2 linked regions of the Arabidopsis thaliana genome follow. The protein of the gene in region 1 interacts with the protein of each later gene in a pairwise test. Each region holds a gene or a part of one and is shown on either strand. Other genes may lie near its edges.

Region 1 (4,881 bases):
ATCTTTTTTTCTCTGTATATGACCATTAAGAGCCATTACTATACATCAAGAGGCACCATGTTTTTGTTTGTTCTCTTGGCCTTGGTCATGGAATATAAGCATTAACAACCTTAGTAATAGAAAAGCATTCTACTCTTGATCAAACAAACTCAAAATTCAAGAAACGCTTCCTTAGATCGTAACTCTAATCGTCGGGTGAATTCACATTTCAATTGAGATCTTAAACCTATGTTTAAGGTATCTGATAAACTTGTCTATCAAATCTTCATGATAATTGAGAATATCAACTACCTGCAAGATATATTAGAACCAAATTTATCTTCTTCTCTATAGTAATACTCCCTCTACAAAAGTATAGATATAGCCAAAATGATATAGGTGGGGCCTACAGATACATAAGCAGTGGCCAGTGAGTTGCTCTTTAACAAGAGAGATAAACAAGCGGTCCCTTCTCAAGACTCAAACAAAAAAACACCAAATAGATAGTGTGAGACTGTGAGTTATATCGTACCATAAATCATAGTTAAGAGAATTGGTTAGATAACATGCATAAAATGGGAGTTATTTTAAAAGAAACTGGATCAGGAAGTTTAGGAGTAATGGGTAAAAATAGGAAGCAAAATTGTCGAAAAAATTATTGAATAATAGAAGGGCATAAACATTACACACACACATGCACACAAGACAGAAAACATGAGAGAGGTAATAAAATAGAAACATCATCTTAAAAATGTCAAAAAAAAAAGAGAGGGATTGATTAAGTGAGAAAGATTCAAATAGAGTTGGTGTCATAAGGTAACCAACCCAACATGTAATTATTCACACTTGGTCCTGCTCCCATTCCATCTTGTTGCCCCTGATACCTGCTCCATAAAATTTAGTAGTTTGAGATACTTTCTTAAGAAAAGCTTATAATAGAACTCAAATCAAATTGGTTATACTAGTCTAAAGTTACCCGATCTGAAGAATGGGTTCACATTCCAAAGGCTGGAAGAAAGCTTGGGAGTGTTGTTGTTGTTGATGATGATGACGACCGTAGTGATCAACCTCTTCTTGGTTAGGGTTCAGCTGGAGTGGCATCTGATACCCATCAGCTAACTGTCACATATGTATATACACACACACATTATAACCAAATTTAGTGATGCATTAATTTGGTGATATGAGAATGTATATTAATTACCCTTAGTCTTAGAGTTTTATTTGTCTCAGTCAGCATGCGTTCCTGCTCCAAATATTTGTGTTTTCTTGGTTACATTACTTTTAGATGAGGAATTTAGAGAGGAGAATGAGTGTTTCTTTATTTACCTTACTCTGAAGATCGTTGAGCTGGTCAAGCATAAACTGTGTCTGCAGAATTAAACACCAAATTTAATCTTACTATGGAAATAGATCAGTGTATAAAGATATTGATGAACAAAGTAGTACCCTGAGAGCTCTGATCTGCTTCAAGGAAGAATCAAGCTGTCTCTCAAGTGACTCAAGCTCCTTTGTACTTAGAGGTCCAAGATCTTCTCCCAACAGATTCCTATTTCAACATCAAAACCATCAAAAAAATCTACTAAAAAAACAAACACTCTCTGAAGGTAGCTGAAGAAGCTAATTAGTTTACCTTTGGGTTCTCTGTAAGGCGTCATAACGCTCCTTAAGCTTGAGATACTCCTGCTGGCTACTAAGTTCCTGAAGTATATGACAAATTATAACATTAATCATTTGACTCTAAAAATCAAAGTAAAAATTGAGAGTAATTAATTAAGGTAATTAGAAGAAAGAGAAGAGAATTGGGTACAACTGCTAAGGCCTCTCTTGAAGGCACATTGGGTTCTGGTGCTCCATAGTTACACTTTTGGTACCTCTCCAGTGTCCGAAGCATGCTTCACACCACACAAAAACATCATTTCTTCCATTAATCTTACTCATCAAGTTCAAAACATGTTTTTAAAAATGGGATTTTTAACTGTTTCCTAGGGTTTACAACAAAATCTGTTAGTCTTTTAAGAGAAGATCTAAAGAACCCAGAAAAAAGGATGAATCCCATCCCCAAGTATACATATCCAACGGACTTTAGATGAATTTGACATTAGCGTCAATTCAAAACCCAAAATTGGAAACCCCTAAGGGTTACTAAAATGGATTGTCGTGGAAACAATATCCCCCTATGAACTTATATCAATCTGACAACAAAATTGAGTGATTTGATCGAATTGGACGACCCCCAGAATCAAAAGGTGGAAACTTTAAGCTTATGTGAATTAAAGAGTACTCACAAGAGAAATTAACCCTAATTTCATATCAGATAGATTGTTCTTCTCTCAGATAATGTGAATTAAGTAGACAAACAAATAAGCAATAAAATATAAGAAAAAAAACTTTGATAGATGTAAAGAGAAATAGAAAAAAAATCAAAAACAAAAATGGAAATCAAAGAGAAACACAAAAGAACATCAAAAAAGCAAACTTGTTATAAAATGATACAGATTTGGGGTATCCCAAATTTTTTTTCCTCTTTGCTTCTTTTAAAAGGATATGATAGAACACGTACGTACGACACAACAACACATCACAGAGAGACCCATACATACAAGACATTTTTGTGTTACTTAATATGTATATAAAATGTTTATGTTATAAGTAATATATATACAAAAGTAGATATATACCTCGAACTACTGCAAAACTCGTACAGCTTTCCTCTATTTGAGAAGATGATGAGAGCAACTTCTGCATCACATAGAACTGAAAGCTCGTATGCTTTCTTCAAAAGACCATTCCTTCTCTTTGCAAACGTCACTTGCCTATTGATCTTGTTCTCTATCCTCTTCAATTCTACTCTCCCTCTTCCCATTTTCTTTTTCTTTCTCCTCTCCCAAAAGATATCTCAATCTCTCTCTCTCTCTTTCCTTGCAAGCAATTCTATATATATATGAGCCTCTCTCTTTCTTTCTTTCTTTCTTTCTTTTTTTCTTTATATTTTTTTTATCTATCTTATATTGCTTTTTAAAGTGTACATATACATTTGTACAAATCTCACAACACTTCTCTCAAAGTACATATAAACATGTCAGCTTCATTACTTGAAATATTCTCTTTCTAATATACTCTCAGACTCAACTATATACCCTCCAATTATTGTGTACCAAAGACCCTCATAGGATTTATTCAAATATTGCAAAATTGAAAGAAAAAATGTTAATTACCCTATCCATGCTTAGATATTTTCAAACCTAAAAATTTGGTGCATTTTTGTGTTTATACATAATTAGTAAAGGAGAGAAATTAGAGTTCCACTCTCACCAACACTTTATTCTAGCTAGTGGTTTAATTTTTCAATTTCAGTCCATATTTAGTTTAGAGAAAAATGTGATTCTGCCAAGAAAGTTTGATGCTTTTTTACTTAGTTCATCGAATTATAGAGATTAATAATTGAAAATCCTACAAAAAACCCTAACATTTAAAACCATTTTTATTTAATACGTTGAGAGAGACAGAGATATTAAAATCGTATGATTCGTAAGAGTGTGATGTTGAAAATGAGAGATTAATAATGGAAGGTGGAGATGGCGCGTGTGCGATGAGTGATTGCAACCCTAAACAGAAAATAGTAGGGCAATGAATGAGTTTGGACACGTGTCGACATCTCGATGGTAGGGTCTGATAAATCCACCTGATTTTTTTATATAAAAAATTTTGATTTTATAAATTTTTCTTTTTTACTTATAAAATCGAGTTCAGGGAATCATGTGACCTAACCTTAACTAGGTGAAGCCTCGTACGATTTTCCCAACTTACGGAACTACCCTTGTGATTGGTTAAAAATGTAAAGTAAAACACTACTCGTTTGTGATGTTTTCATGATATCTAAAACTCTTACTGCTAGTTTTGATAAATCTTACTGCTAGATTTGCTTTTCCTTTTCCAATCTATAGTACTGCTAAGATTATTTTTGTTAGTGAAATTAACAGAAATGTCTTTTGTATTAGTCTACTTTATAAACCACCATTTTGATGTGGCCAAAAAAAAAACCATGTTGATAAATTCAGTTTGGTAAGAGAGTCTGATGAGACACAAAAAAAATTATGGGAAAGAAAGAAAACATAAATGGATAAAATAAACAGAGATTTGAATATAAGATATAGTTTATTTTGGTTATCTTAGGGTTCGTCCGATGTTAGAGATCATGTCTGACCGAAAGTCTTAGTGCTTTTTGGTTGCAGACGTAATTGCTTTATTCTGACCGGTAAGTAGGTGATGGACACAAAGGTATGATTCAATTAGAAAAACTAAACATAGCATTATTATTCTGTTTGGTTATATTTAAACCCATTAGCTTCTTTTCTCTTTTGATTTGCACATTGAATCGCTTATTAATCTCACTTGGTCATGGTCTCATAGAAGCATTTTAAGCAAATTTGCACGAGTTTTATATATTGTCTTCATGTGGGACTCAAGATTTATGATATTTTAATTTGCTTCAATTGGTTTTAGATAAAATAAAATTAAATATGGTTATATAATTATAAGTTACAATCAAAATTAGTTAGAAGGACGTATGAGAAGAAAGGGAAGGGCAAGTACGAATTCACTTGTTATCAGATCTGGTCGTATAATTCAATGTAAGATGATGACAATTGATCGAGATGATGTGCATTAAACCAAAAGAGAAACTAAAGTACATTCAACTATTTATTTATTGATGTCATACCAATGAAGTTAAAAACATATATCTTCTATCTTTTCCTTCTCTTTTTGTACTCTTTCCTTCGTTTTGTGATCCCCCAAAAATTTTCAAATCTTCCCCATTGATAATATATGTGGTGAATTACAAGGTATGAGACCAACAATGATATATACTATATTTAGTTTTTAAACGGTTTCAAGTGT
Region 2 (7,525 bases), 8.0 Mb from region 1:
GTGATACATTTCTTGTGTAGGTCTGCGAGATGGAACCGGGCCTATTCCGAGAGTGTGATTCCCATGTGAGGAGTATCCAGGGAAGACTAGAAATACTCGCTGTATCAGTTCATGCAGAAGGTGACACAAGCATGGATCATTACGATGAGCATGATGATATGGCATTGCAAACCCACAAGCCGTTGTTACCTGCTGAGACTGAGACTAAGGATTTGACCGATCCCGTCGTTGAACTTAGCAAGAAACTGCAGAAGCAAGAGATAAGTACTACAGATAACATAAAGCAAGAAGGTGGAGAAGAAAAGAAGGGGACCAAGTGCAGCACTTGCAACACGTTCGTTGGAGAGGCTAAGCAATACAGAGAGCACTGTAAGAGTGATTGGCACAAACACAACCTTAAGCGTAAGACTCGGAAACTCCCTCCTATTAGTGCTGACGAATGCATGTCTGAGATTGACATGGACGACTCTAGAGCAGATTTGAAAGACTACTCTTTCTGAAACTACAATTTTCTCCTTTTGTGCTTTTAATTTTGTCAATGTGTTAAATCTCGTAGTCATATGTGAGTATGAATACACAAAACTTGTGGAATGAAATTTTGCGCAAACTTTAAGAGTAAAAACTTGTGTTTAAGAGACAAGCTTGGATATTTGGTATTTGATTAATAACTGTGACCAAACAATAGACATCGTACGGCTTGTGGTATTTCATTGCACTAACAACAAAAAATCATGACCGATCAGCATCGTTCAAGAGCATTGCACATATTTAACGTTGTGGTCAGAATTTAGGGAAGTTTGGTTAACACATGGAAGAGACCAGAGAGATAAATGAAGGATAGAGCTTGATTCATTGCCTCCCTGATGATGTGCCCTAAGGAACACACACCGATAGAAAGATGTACATTATAAACTATAAAGCATAAGAAAAACTCCCCAAAGTAAAAAAAGAAACAGTAACTCAAGAGATGGTATTGGTGATTGTGGAGGTGACCTAGAAACCAGTTATTGATACAAAGATTTGACTCTTCCTTTCTTAAGCACAATATCACGGCTTATTGGCCTATCCTTATCCTGAGTTTGAAGATGTGTGATGCTGCGCAAGCAGAACATTACCCTTTCAGTGTCTCTTCTTCCTCTTCTTCATTTCACGCGTTCCAATCAAAATTGTTGAAACCATTCACTGCTCCTAAAAGTTGGTTTCCTAAATCCTGTTGACCGTTTGGATCCCGCACCATCATCCCAACTCTTCCGTTCATGAGACTATTGTTACCGTTTATATTATTGATTCCGTTTGCTGCCATGGATTGACCAATCCCACCACCAAACCCACCAGCACCTCCAATATTTGTGTTGTTGTTGTTGTTCACTTGGCCATTCATCAGTAAAACACCAGAACTATTTACATTAGCTTGACCCTTCCCATCATTCCCGAAAGACCCATGCCCAACCATGCTTCCTCCTGAGCTATTATTATGAGCTTGGTTGTTCATCAGGATTTCATTCAGTATCTTCTGCACCGAGCTAGACTCGTTTCCATCAACCTCACCTGCCTGTTGCATTGCTGGTGAGTTTGTGGAACCCATGTGATTAACAGATGGTATCCCGTTTTGAGAGGGATTATTGTTATTAGATGAGGATGTTGGAGACTGAAATGTTGGCAGGTTGTGTTGTTGCTGCGATGATGATGGCACCATGGTACCCGAGGAACTAGGTGATTGCATCTGAACAGAGTTTCCTCCATAGGGGCTGTTTGGAGGATTGTAAGCAGCATTCTGATGTCTTCCCTTCATTGAATTCTGGTGGATGAGCCCTGCGATGCTGCTGGTGGAAGTGGATGCAGAGGCTGCATTAAAGGCATAATTTACACCATTGCTTGGATTACCCTGCATTAGTGCAACTTGCCTACTACTTTGATCACTGTTTGTATTCTGGGAAACTGTTTGCTGCTGCTGCTGTTGTTGTTGTTGTTGTTGTTGCTGTTGCTGCTGCTGCTGTTGTTGTTGCTGCTGCTGCCTAAGCTGGTCGCTGGCTTGCTGAGGAGAAGGACCAGGCAGTGCAGATGAAGGGCCTGTTCTCCGAGGAAACTTGGCTAAACTCTCTGTACCAAAGAAAGAAAACATGACATCAGTCAAATCACCGGAGAATATGTACAATGAAGTTCTGATATAATACATGAACGAAAAGAGTAGGTGCTTCAAGATTAAAAATACCAAATGCATTAAAAGGTGGTCACATAAACTTACCGATTGGTCCTGTTCGTGTTTCTCTGCTATAATCTATCAGGTCCTTCATACTATTTACCACCTCTGAGATCTACAATATTGCAAAATATCAATGTGCATTGGCAAACATGGTCACAGGGACAGACTAAATACAAAGATTGATTAAGTTTATTTCATTTTTATGTATTATCCTTTTCAAAGCTGCATTTTCATTGATGGCAAGAATCTTAAGTTTTAAGCAAGATTGTAGAGTTCACTTGATCCATATTGAGACATTAGTTATTTACCTGCAAACACCGAACATATCTCTTTGTGTATCCCAAATCATTCACAAGTGGTACTTCCAGGGCCTTTGCCAATTGTCTAGCAGATGCAACAAACCTGCAGACCAGTTGCAGCACATCAGAGATCACCAATCAAAAGTCGAATAACAGGATTTGTTACATCAATTTCACAGCGAAAGAGAGGAAGTTTACATATTGCAATTATTTTGTAGCTCCGGAAGAGCAGAATCTGTTGTTGCATTTTGAGCAGCTTGTTGATATTTCTGAGCTGCCGATCCAAGCTGACTAACCTGTATGTGAATACAAAAATAGCTAATTTACCTAAGCTGTTTTCACTGATTTAGATGTGTAATATTCTACTCCTATTGAAATTTGGAAACCACAAAAGATGAAAGGTAAAGTGACGATTTCGCAAAGAAAAGCAGACTAGAATAATATTAAGACAGCATATCCAATTTTGTGACAAAAGGAAAGGCCGCATCTCCAAAATAACTATATGTCAGAGCAATATGGTGAATCTTTCTGGAAGTTACCTGCGGTATCAAAAGTCTTCGTGGAATAAGCTCTTCATGCCGCCGAGCACAAAATTCCCAGGAGAATATCTGAGAAGGAACTTACAAGAATAAAGGGCTTGGAGAGAAAGTAATAGTATAATAATTTGCTGCGAAAGATAGAGTAGCTTGAAGAACCTTAAGATCTGGCGAGAAGACTATTCGAAGTTGGCCATCACGAACAACCCGAAGATGCTCAAAGACACTCTCTTGTGTTGCTTTTGCATACTCCAGGACAATTTGGCCAGATGAATTCTGGGACTCCCTTGGCATATCTACATATAACAGTTCTTCTAACGTCCCACTCTCATACTTAATCTTAAACAGCCGCGGAAGGACTTCGGCGGTTGCCTCTAAACAATGAAAGAGACAAAGCAGTAAGGAAGGAATATTTGATAAGATGTACAGGAAATTGTCTGCACTGATCATCTAAATAACATACCAAAACCACGTCCAGGCTTTCGGTTACATATCTCACAGTGCCACACATCCTGCAATGTTTGTGGAATAAAAATACTCATGTAAAGAGGTATAACATGAAACAAGTACGTAATTTATCCAGAATAACTGGCTCAGGTGCAAAAGACAAGCTCCTTTACAATTGTATTACAAACAAGATAAGTTCATTGAGCAGTAAACCAACCTGAGGGAAAACGCCTGTTGTTTGCCTGCCACTGCCATACATAGAGACGCACCATCTCTTTTTGGCATTAGGAGCAAAGTACTCAGCTACAAATTTTCTCCAGAACTCGATATTATTGTCCTGCATTTAATAGCAAGCACAAATGTCAATTATGAAGAAAAGCCATAGGCTGAAAGAAGTTAAATTTATGGTAAGAAGCTTTACTTCAGGCCTATGTTGTTGTCTGTACATATACTGTGTAAGACGCTGAGCACCCATGCCAGGTTCATACACTGGTTTCAGAGGTGGCCTTAGAGGTAAATTCTGCTGTTGGAACTGCTGTGGTAATTGAGGACGCTGTTGAGGCATAGATTTCAAGAGTTGCTGTTGTTGAAGTTGCATAAGTCTCTGCTGCTGAAATATGTTCATTTGAGCCTGCGGAGATTGCCCCGGCATTTGAAGAAATTGTTGTTGTTGTTGTTGCTGTTGTTGCCTCTGCTGTTGTTGGAGAAACAATGACTGCTCAGAATGTTGAGGTTCCATTTTCACTTGGGCCAAATTTCTCATGGCCTGAATTTGCTGCGGTTCCAACTTAACTGACCCTAGGTTTCTCAACATTTTCTGTTGCTGCTGTTGTACTTGACCATGCTGCTGATCATTCGAAACCTGACCAGGCTCCATCTTAACAGGTCCCACACCTGCTAATCCACCACCACGCACTGTCGAAAACTGCTGCTGCATTGACTGCTGCTGACCATGTTGAAAACTCTGCGTCTCCATTTTCTTATTCCGTTGTTGCTCAGCCAACAACTGGTTAGCCGAAACATTCGAAAACTGCTGACCCTGAACTTGACCTGATGAGCGCGGAGACACCATACTCGACGCATTAAAAGACGACAAACCACTAAACCCGACGTTAGACATCGGGTCAGACTCAGCACCACTTGTATCCATAGAAATCATAGAACCAGGGATACCATTTACAAAAGACTGATTATTGAGAAGAGAAGATATATTTGGAGCATTCCCAAGCATACTCATACTCATATTGTTACCAAACTGAGTACGCGGAGAGACAAGTGAAGGAAATGCTGGTTGAGAAGGAAGAGGAGCTCCTCCTTGTCCTCCTAATATCGAAGGCGGAACATTTTCACCACCCCCAACAGGATTAGGCGGCTCTGATGGTACCATACTCTTACTAATTCACAACTCCACAATCAACAAAGAAAGCAAGAAACAAAACTGACGACTTTATAAAACTCAGCTCTGTGTAGGAGCAAAGACGTATTCTTTCTGAGCAATGATAAGCTTCAGAGTCGTAAACACCACGGAAAGAGATGAATCTGAGTGATGAGATTCCGTATCGAACATTCTAGAACCAAACAACACTGTCTGTTGATTACTTACAGATCTAAATTAAGCAAATCTACTCCATTTCCAACTCTCACCACCTTAACAAAACAAAAGCATAATGTTAAGAACAAACCCAGAAAGAAAAAAACGAAACTTTGATCAAACCCTAATTGAGAAAAAAAACAGAGATTACTAGTGAGAATCTATAGAAACTTACCCAGAGGTGGAATTGAAGAATAAGTCTCTGATAAGACTCAAAACAAAGAGAATCGAACAAAAAGGAAGAGACTTTACACAACTAAAAATCTGAAAACTTCCGATGAACAAAATCTTGAAGAAATTTGAAGTCTTTTAGGGTTTTTTATTGATGGGTTTGGGGATAAAGAGACGAGAAGACAAAGAGAAACAAAAAGAAGTAGAAACAAATTTTCTCTGCCGCCTAGAAATTGTAGTTTCTGGGTTTTATTAAAAATTATACCTTTTTAAGCTTCACAGAGTAATTTGTGTCCTGTTCTTCGCTGTAGAGAGAGAGAGAGAAGAGAGAAAGAAGAAGATGAGAAGAGAGAGAATAGTGTCCTTGCGGACGTCAAAATTGTATTCGATCGGATTTATTTCATTCCCTTTCTTACTTTTTCTTTTTCAGTCTCTCTCTCTCTTCTTCTTCTTCTTCAAAGGAAGTCAATGACATGCCCTAGAAATGTTTTTTTTTTGTAATCACAATCTGGATTTTTTTTTTTTGTTAGCCACAAACATTTTTCTCTTTATTTTATTGGTTTTAGTGTTAAATTGTTATTTTTCCATTCAGAATACTATCACTTTTAAATACCTTAAGAAAAGTTTGATTTAGAAAGATATCAAAAGTTTAATATACACATCAATAGTGTTTTTTCTTAGAATGTAAAGTTTGGTTTAAAAGAACATAATGGAAATGACACTATTTTTATTTGTTTTTAGTTCTAAATTTGATATAGAAATTTTTCTTTCTTTTTTTGGTTTTAGTTTTAAATTTGATATAGAAATATATCAATATTTAATATATTACTACATTAATAGTGGTTTTTCTGTTTAAAGTTTATTTAAATGTGTAAATTTGGTTTGAGAGAGAGAATGGAAAACAAGACTATTTTTAAGAAAAAATATAATTATGGAACGACAACATAAAATTAATTTGAAAGCGGATTTATGTATGAGATTAAACAACTCGAGTTTGATCTTCATCCCTTGCTTAGATGATTTTTTTTTCCCATTCCCCTTATATATTCTTTTTCGTCTCAACTTTCTATCTTTTTTCTTTTGTTCAAGTTTTCTTAATTATTTTTGTCTACGCTTTTTAGATAATAAAAACTGCTTCTTATTTTCTTTATTTTATTGTCTACATGGTTTCATTACATAGAAGCTGAACTATAATAATCATGATGGTATTTTAAAGTTATAAAGCAAAGAAAATAAATATTATATACAAATGAAACTCCACAAGGAATTCTCACGGTTTAGAGTATTTGCATATTCATTTGTTTAATAAACCGTTTTCTATTAATATTAGAAAATATATAAAAAAAATAATTCAGTTTTTTAGTCTGATGTGTTGCAGATCATTTTCTAACATAAATATATTTAAAAGAAAAAATCAGACATGAGAGCATATATATGAACCATTGCTGAATATAAATCTTAAATACCTCATTTTTTCTGAACCTAATAATGCATGTAACCAATTTTAAGTCAAAAGCATTTTTTTGTGTGTTAAAATGTTAAATTTATTAGTCAACAAAAAGAAAAAATATGTATAAAGAGTTGAGAGAGTGCTTCACCCGGTTTAACAACACCACAAACCAAATAGCTTTTATATTGATTTAAATTACAATCACTAATGGTTAAAAAAACAGACTCATATATAGCCAAAGATATTGGTATTGCAAGAACTTCTCCTGCCATTGGAAACATGGTTGAATATTTTGATCTATTTATTTTTACTACCTTAAAACATGGTTGAGTATATCTGACTCGTCTTTTTGATATGTTTCCAACTCATTTACAGAAAGAAGATTGTAGACTTAAACTGGTCTATCAAACACTATACTCAAATTATCTCTACAAAATATTTATCAGCAAATTATTATTTCTCACACTTTAGATTACCTTATCCACGTATAAGTTTAAAGCTAAACAATGCAAATATCATTATATGAAAATGATCAAATATTTTAGCCACTATCAATATTTTATTGGCTTTTTCTATATCTTCTCAATATCTATCAAATTTGGATGTCATTGCATAAATCATATCTCTCAAATCTTACGTTAAACCCTAAATACCATACTTGATTGTTGTATATCTCATTGTAGTAACTATTTGATGTTACTTTATAGAAGAAGAGAATGTTAACATATGATTTAAAGGTTTTTTACTATATGACGCGGTATGTTCTAATCAATTGTTATTGAAGGTGACTTGTTTGATTAGAATAACTTTTTAAAAAATCTGTCGTCT

What was found.
Region 2: the proteins of SEP3 (region 1) and SEU interact in a two-hybrid assay, tested with the Arabidopsis thaliana proteins (one study listed by BioGRID).

The regions. Positions count from the first base shown.
Region 1 is NC_003070.9:8,593,018-8,597,898, forward strand, and holds SEP3 (K-box region and MADS-box transcription factor family protein), read right to left. Parts: upstream 3,082-4,881; 5' UTR 2,846-3,081; coding exon 2,661-2,845; intron 1,875-2,660; coding exon 1,790-1,874; intron 1,681-1,789; coding exon 1,613-1,680; intron 1,529-1,612; coding exon 1,429-1,528; intron 1,351-1,428; coding exon 1,309-1,350; intron 1,226-1,308; coding exon 1,184-1,225; intron 1,099-1,183; coding exon 956-1,098; intron 864-955; coding exon 773-863; 3' UTR 559-772; downstream 1-558. UniProt on the Arabidopsis thaliana protein: Probable transcription factor active in inflorescence development and floral organogenesis.
Region 2 is NC_003070.9:16,615,219-16,622,743, reverse strand, and holds SEU (SEUSS transcriptional co-regulator), read right to left. Parts: upstream 5,757-7,525; 5' UTR 5,252-5,756; intron 5,133-5,251; 5' UTR 4,873-5,132; coding exon 3,907-4,872; intron 3,823-3,906; coding exon 3,703-3,822; intron 3,551-3,702; coding exon 3,502-3,550; intron 3,413-3,501; coding exon 3,198-3,412; intron 3,111-3,197; coding exon 3,042-3,110; intron 2,799-3,041; coding exon 2,701-2,798; intron 2,606-2,700; coding exon 2,512-2,605; intron 2,316-2,511; coding exon 2,246-2,315; intron 2,101-2,245; coding exon 1,148-2,100; 3' UTR 695-1,147; downstream 1-694. Other genes in the region: AT1G43860 (sequence-specific DNA binding transcription factor), read left to right, coding at 21-500. UniProt on the Arabidopsis thaliana protein: DNA-binding adapter subunit of the SEU-LUG transcriptional corepressor of the C class floral homeotic gene AGAMOUS during the early stages of floral meristem development.